2 linked regions of the Tribolium castaneum genome follow. The protein of the gene in region 2 purifies or fractionates together with the protein of the main gene of each other region. This does not show direct contact. Links are inferred from orthologs where the notes say so. Each region holds a gene or a part of one and is shown on either strand. Other genes may lie near its edges.

Evidence for each region.
Region 1: the proteins of Egfr (region 2) and kek1 purify together in Drosophila melanogaster (affinity purification with western blotting; 5 studies listed by BioGRID). This does not show direct contact. The link is inferred for Tribolium castaneum from reciprocal best matches to the Drosophila melanogaster genes Egfr and kek1.

The regions. Positions count from the first base shown.
Region 1 is NC_087402.1:10,562,752-10,566,351, reverse strand, and holds kek1 (leucine-rich repeat-containing protein 24), read left to right. Parts: upstream 1-1,042; 5' UTR 1,043-1,216; coding exon 1,217-3,034; 3' UTR 3,035-3,555; downstream 3,556-3,600.
Region 2 is NC_087394.1:3,580,928-3,584,887, reverse strand, and holds the start of Egfr (epidermal growth factor receptor), read right to left. Parts: upstream 2,728-3,960; 5' UTR 2,542-2,727; coding exon of another isoform or gene 2,466-2,541; intron 1-2,465. UniProt on the Drosophila melanogaster protein: Receptor tyrosine kinase, binding ligands of the EGF family and activating several signaling cascades to convert extracellular cues into appropriate cellular responses. Known ligands include spitz, gurken, vein and giant-lens.

The DNA.
Region 1 (3,600 bases), on a different chromosome or scaffold from region 2:
TTTCTGATCATTAGAATAGCGTCAAGTTTACAATGTTGTCATTCCACCGTGAAGATTTCCGTTTCCTTTTAAACACAGATAAATACCTTCGCGTATGATGCAGGCCCGGCCTGGCCCACAAACCTGTTTTCAAACAATGAGCCCAAAACTTTTAGAGAAAACCCCTCGATATCCTTATTCACTGCATTTCGTACACCACCACAAACAAAACCAATACCCAATTGTGGCTGGAAGAAGTGTGTAATTTTATTTCAGTTTTCTCGAAAATAAAAAAATGTTGAACAAAGTTTTTACTGACAACATTGTCAATTAATTAATAATGTGTATTATTTTGTATCAATGCATTTGTAACTGAAAAAAGCCATTCATGCCAATAAACCGTTTATAAAGCGATTGTTTGGGTGAAAATATTTAGTTGGGAAATTTTGTTTTGATTATTTATTAATTCCTTTATGAAGCACACATAGCTATTGACCATAAAAATAATTTGTAGGATATTGCCTAATAAAACAGTGAAATGAATGTTTTTTTCATTAAGATCTTAAATATAGGTAAGTTAGGTATAATCAGTTATAAGATAAGAACTTTCTGCACGAAATAATCTAATACAATTAAGCTAAAAATAGCTCATCTATAATAATAGTAATTCTCTTGAGAAATAACAACCCGCAAGTTCGTTGCATATTTATCCCTCGGAAGAAAAACGCTCGGCTCAAGTTTTACGAAGTTATAAATTTTTAAAATCCGGCTCTGTCTGCGCCGACTAAATAGCCAAATACCTCGGCACAACAAAGACCTGTTCGGTGTCCGGAGAAATAAATTAGTGTGACTGGGCTAGAGCCGACACAACAGAATAAAATCCCTTAACGTATTGAATGGTGTCAAAGCTCTACCTTGAAGCTTTCTAATTGGACGTTTCACGCCAGGTACCGAAATACCGATCCATTCATTCTGGTGGGGTGTAGGCAAAAATAGTTGTAGAAGACGTTATTAATGAGAGCATGTAGTTTGGGCCTAGCAAAAATCAGTACGTTGATGCGGTGGTTACTTGTGAACCAGTGCGCAACGCCGAGATGGTGACGGGGCCCGAGGCGAGACAACGAGGAAGGAGTAGACAGCCCTCTCATTCAGTCATCGTTCGGCGTCCGTGATGTTCGCGCAAAGACCAGTCTTCGTGGGGCTAACCACTTAATCAGTCGTCGGCGCGTCGTGCAACATGGTGTTGGTGGTGGGGCTGGTGACCCTCCTAGTGCTCACCCCGTGCTTAGGGGGCAACTGCCCGTCCCCGTGCACCTGCAAGTGGAAAGGGGGCAAGCAAACAGTGGAGTGCACGGAGCGAGGACTCATCACCATCCCCGAGAGCGTCGATCCGGAGACGCAAGTATTGGATTTGTCCGGAAATAATTTGCAGATCCTGCCCAGAGAGACGTTCGTTCGGTCGGGGCTACTCAACCTCCAGAGAGTGTTTCTAAGACGTTGTCGGATCGGGCAAATCGACGATCTCGCCTTTAGAGGATTGACGAATTTGATCGAGTTGGACTTGTCGCACAATCTACTGACGGCGGTTCCGTCCGGGACGTTCCGGGACGTACCGTTCTTACGCGATTTGGTACTTGCGTACAACCCGATTCAAAAAATAGACAGTCAGGCTTTTAAAACTATCCCGGGACTTATTAAACTCGATTTGTCGAATTGTGAAATACAAGTTATTGCTTCGAAGGCGTTTGAAGGGATTGAAATGTTGGAGTCACTCAAGTTGAACGGAAACCGGCTCTCGGAGTTACGTTTGAGGACTGTGGAGACGCTAAACAGACTCCATGGGATTGAAATGCACGACAATCCCTGGCATTGTGATTGTCGGTTGCGAGCAGTCAAAGAATGGCTCGTTAATAACAATATTCCTTACCCCATCTCGCCGATTTGTTCCGGAGGACCTGAAAGACTCATCGATAAGACGTTTACGGAGCTTCACATCGATGATTTCGCTTGTAAACCTGAAATCCTCCCCGTAAATCGCTACATTGAGGCGACTTCCGGCTCAAACGCGACGATTTTATGCCGAGCGAACGCCATCCCAGTGGCTAACATCAACTGGTATTGGAACGGACGTCCCCTTCTGAACAACTCAGCTTTCAGCTCACACCAAAGAATCCACGTTTTCGAAGAGGGCAAGCAGGAGAAGCGCAGTGTTTTAGTGTTGACAAACGTCCAAGAGATCAATTCGAGTGAATTCTATTGTGTGGCGGAGAACAGGGCTGGGAATGCCGAAGCCAACTTCACCCTCCACGTCTCGATGCGAGCTGCAGGGATCACAACGCTTGGCAGCGGCCAAATCGCCGGTCTCAGTGTCGCTCTCATAATTCTAATAATCTTTATCCTCCTGGTCATTTTCGTGCTGCTTGTCCGCCTCCGCCGCATCCCCTTTTCCGAGAGCAAAACCTCCGGTCAGATTGAAGTCGTAACTGTGGTCAACGGAACGTCCAAAGTGGAGGAACCCTCTCACGAGCATACCAAGCCGACCGAGTTGAATTTCTGCAATCCAGTCCAAAAGCCGCCCCGTTTGAGCGACTCCACGATCCCAGCTTCCTGTTTCGTGTCTCCCTCGTCGGCCTCCGGGAACAACCCTGACCTAATCAACGACACCAAACCGTCGGAGGACCCCGAAGGGTTGGAGAGGCCCGCCAGCGGCGAGTACAGTCGCAACGCTGATTCGCTCTATCCCTCGGGATTATGGGAGACGGACTACTCGCGTCAGGTGAATTTCTACGACGATAAGACGCCCATTATGGACGGGATGAGTGGCGGAGGGTCGCTGGAAGAGTTGGCGTTCAGGGCGCAAGGATATCCGGCTGATTATGGGCTTCCCATCGCTGACAAACAACAAACTTTGCCCACGAATGCGAAAACGCTGAGGGTGTGGCAGAAGGGAGGTGTTCCCGTTTTACCTCCGGTGACGGCACTCAAAAGAGCGCTGACTCACAGCAGAAATTCGCCGGATGAAGGGTATCAAGAAGGCTGCGGGACTGATGTTTAAGTGTGAATTTACCAAAGACTGCGTTCCTAAGACACTGGTTGTACATAATTTAAGTTTTCTGTAACCACAGTGCTGTGAGTACACCGGAAAGGGGATATTTAGATAAGTTTGTATTTCCTTATGTGATAATTGTTTCGTAGCGAAACTTGTAAATATTGTGTATAGACTGTAGATAATGTTGTTTATGGCGTTATGAAATTCATAGACTAAGTATACACGCTCAAAAGACTGACCATTATATTTACCAACTCAAAATTCATTTCTAGATCCCCATTTCATTTATTTTTCTATTTATTGTAAATGTTCATTGTCAGCAGCTATAGCAAAGATTTTTATGTAACATAATAGTGTATTGTTGTTTGCAACAGACGTGTAAATGTTAATATATTACAATGTTATACCCTAAATTAACGGTACCTAATATCAATTAATAATAATAATTCAGTATTCTTAATGTTACCAACATGTATATAAATGTGAAAACGGTGCGTAACTTTTGGTAATAAACAATTTAAAAGAAAGTCATGTTTCATTCCAATTTCTCACACTGTCGATAATATCACTAA
Region 2 (3,960 bases):
TTTTACTCCTAACAAAACTTTATTATATTATTTTCTGGTATAATTGAAAAAAAGTGAAGAAAATGTCTTTCAAAATTTAGAGAGATAAATTGGTCACCCATTTGTCTATAGAGGGTGGGTCTTAACTTATACATTAGGAAACTTAGAGAATAATTGTTTTTGCCAAATAATAACAAAAAAAGTGGTAGTAAAGGTTTTTTAGTTACCGGAATATTGTCCAAGAAAAACATTACTAAAATTTTAATTTCTTAGAATAATAACTAGACTATCATAATTATCCCGGTACTACATAGCTACCTCCAAATAATTAAAAAAAAGTTATGCTCAATAACAAGTAAAACGCATTATATATAGATGAAATAAAAATGTTTTCTTCATGTGAATACATAATTCAAAAAATTTAAAAACAATTAAAACAGAAAAAAAAATTAAAAAATTCTTAGAATAATAAGACTATCATAGTTAATACTGGTACTACAGAAAATACCTCCAGAAAATAAAAAAAAAGTTATGATAAACAAAAAGTAAAACGCACTGTATATAGGTGAAATAAATAAAAAGAATAAATAAAAATAAATAATAAAAAATAATAAAATAAATAAATAAATAAATAAAAATAAAAAATAAGAAATAAAAGTTTTTTCTTCATGTGAATACCTAATACGAAAAATTTTAGACCAATTAAAACAGAAAAAACTAAAAAAAACAGAAAAAACAAAAACCTTCAAGTACTAACTGCTCAATGATTTCTAAACAATTTTCACACGTTTCTACTCGTATTCAAGTAACTTTGAACAAGTTTTTGATTTTAGATATTTTTTCCCATAAAAAATAAATTTTTTTTCTAAACTTATTTTCCATTTTCACACGTTTCTGCTGGTATTCAAGTAACTTTGAACAAGTTTCTGATTTTTGATATTTTATCCCACAAAAAATAAGTTTTTTTTCCAAACTTATTTTCCATTTTCACACAATTCTGCTCGTATTCAAGTAACTTTGAACAAGTTTTTGATTTTTGATAGTTTTTCCCACAAAAAATAAGTTTATTTTCCATTTTCACACGTTTCTGCTGGTATTCAAGTAACTTTGAACAAGTTTCTGATTTTTGATATTTTTTCCCACAAAAAATTAGTTTTTTTTCCAAACTTTTTGGATTATTTCCATAAAAAAATTATTCTTTTTCTTATTTTCATTAAGGTCCTTAATGAGCGTAATTCATAACCGATGCCTTAACTTTTTTTTGTTACGATCGAATGTAGAGTTTTAAAGAAATTTAGAAAAAAATCTGATGTAAAAAATTTTGGAAGCGCTTCACAATGTGGCAATTTATAAGGTTGTAGGACAATAAATAACAATTCTATTTTTTTCACATTTATTATGGTCCGTAAAATAATAGATACCGAATTTTCCATGGCAAGATCGTCTTTAAAATGTCCCAAAAGACTGAGTTTTGCATACAGAGTTGAGCAAAAGTATGGAACTTTCATAATTATTTAAAAAAAAACATTGGTGTAAAAATAAAATTTTGATTTTTTTTTATAATAACCCAAAAAAAATTGTACTTTAAACATAACCCCATTTTCAAGTCCTTCATGAGGTACTAAGAGGTTTTTTCGTAAGGTACATAGTTAGGCACAGAATGCTTGGTTCCATACATTTGTCCAACTATAAAAATTAAAGGAAAAACTGACCTGGTACTGGAGAAAAGGAAAGAAAACAGGATCTGGCACAGGAGTGGTGAAATGAAATCGGTAAATCGTCGTTACCAAAAGTTTTTGATTGTCACCATACGAATAATTAGTGTTAAGGCTGTTAATTTTAACAACACAATCACAAACACAAGGAAACATCACAAAAATAAAAAGCACATCACGACCACACAGTCTAGCGTCTCAGTGTCACTATTATGGCGGTCTTTTTATCCAGAGCTGCCAACCTTGTCACACAAAGTTCCTGAGTGAGGGTGCGAATTTCGAATTAGTCATTATTTTTTAATTCACTAGTAATTACAACTGAAAACATATCTGGATGTACCTAATGCAGAAAAAACTAATAGGTAATTCAAGCCTCATTAGAGCCGATTTTTTTCTGATTAAAGCCATAAATTTTGAAATCAAGTTGGCAACATTAACGCAAAAACGGAAAAAAGATAAATAATGTGGCCAACTTAACTTCAAGCCAACGTCCCGAAAAATTAGTTTTAATTGGAGTAATTAAAGCCCTCAAAATTTCACCCTCCACTTGACCTGAATCCGAAATTTTTGAACAAAGAGTGATGGATCGACGTTTCAAAAAAGTGACACTTGAAAGCATCAGTTGGAATGCGGCTCTCCTTTTAAACGGTCCCAAGTGGTCTTGAGACCTCTGTAAGCGATTTCCAAAGAAGCGCGCAATAAACAAACATTATTCCAAAGCAATAAATAAATAAAAAAATTAAAGACAGCTCATCAGAGAGACGCACTCACCTCTAACCCCCATGTCCACATTACACCCTCCAAAGCCAGCCATGGCCAGGATAATCCCCAGGAGAAAAATATCCATTTTGAGAAAAACAAAACCAAAATTCCAGAAAAAAAAAAACACTGCTCACAGCATCACAACACTGCACTAAGTCATCATCCGAGTGTCATGGGAAAAAACAAAATAAGTACGACAACCTGTTGCACAACTCGAAGCAACAACAACACCACCTCTCGACGACTCGATTTCGAATGACAACAATTGAACGTCGCGCTTCTCGAGCCCGGAGCGACCGGAGGCGAAGACGGCCGAAGTGTCACAGGTAGATTAGTGACCTTGTGAGCAACAGGTAAGAGAGAGATGGGGCTATTGTGCTCCTTGCGTAGAAGAATGTTGATCTGTATTATTGTTGGGAAAAGATGAAAAAGCCATGGTAGAGTCGACCAATGGGTGGGTCGAGCTGGGGGTCAGGGGAGATGGTAGCGAGTCCGATGGGTCGATGGGTTTACGTAATGCGGTAGCGCGTCTATCATTCTGGTTTGAGAATTTTTAATTGCGGTGGTGTTGGAGGGATTGCGTTTTTTTTGGATTAATTTGATGGTAGATCAATGAACTTATGAATGAGCTGGGACGAGATGGTCAATGTGGAACTGGAAATTTATTAGCGCAATTAGCGGTTGTTGGAGTTTTTTGAATGGAGACGCGTTGGTTGTGCGTCAGGTGAAGCATAATTTATTGCTACATTGACGGCTTCAAGTTATGACTATTTTGAACGAACCAAAGTTCCATAGGAAAATGACTTTTTTATTTTGGTGGGTTCTTACTGAACAACAGAAAAGTGGCCATAGTTGGAACATATTACACAGACTTGGTCCAAAATATTTCAGTTTTGTCTCACCATTTGGCCGTAGTTTAGAAAAAAAAACTTTCCAACAGTTAAATAATTTATGTGATTTTGACATATTTTTTTCTTTTTTCAGCCTCTTTTTTAAACAAACTTTCTTAACACGCATTTTTCGAGAGCTTTTCTTACAACTCGAAATAAATTGGAACTGAACAAAAAACTGTTGTTTGATTATTTTGGAAATCTCGGCCATATCATCTGAAATTTTTCTGTTTTCTAAGAAAATTTCTAGTTTTCTATTAGACTGGGCTTCAAAAATCGTGGATAAACTGTCGATCGATTTGTCTTTGATACATTCCAATTCGAAAATTGTGTCAAAACTTAAATATTTTGGCAAAAACTCAATTTCATCGCGAGATTCTCTCACAAAACTCAAAAATGTACCAAACTTGATCAAAAATCTTTATATCTTTTTATGATCTTTAAGAAGCAAAAACAAAAAATAGGGTGTTTCATTTAAATTTTTCAAGTTTTTTAACAAACTTGCAATTTTTTAGTTTTTTTCTACATTAAGTTCCTTATGCTTGCTATCGTTAGGAAATACTTTCACTTGTGATTATGAGTAAAAAGTAACAAAAGTAATTAGGTAATAATTA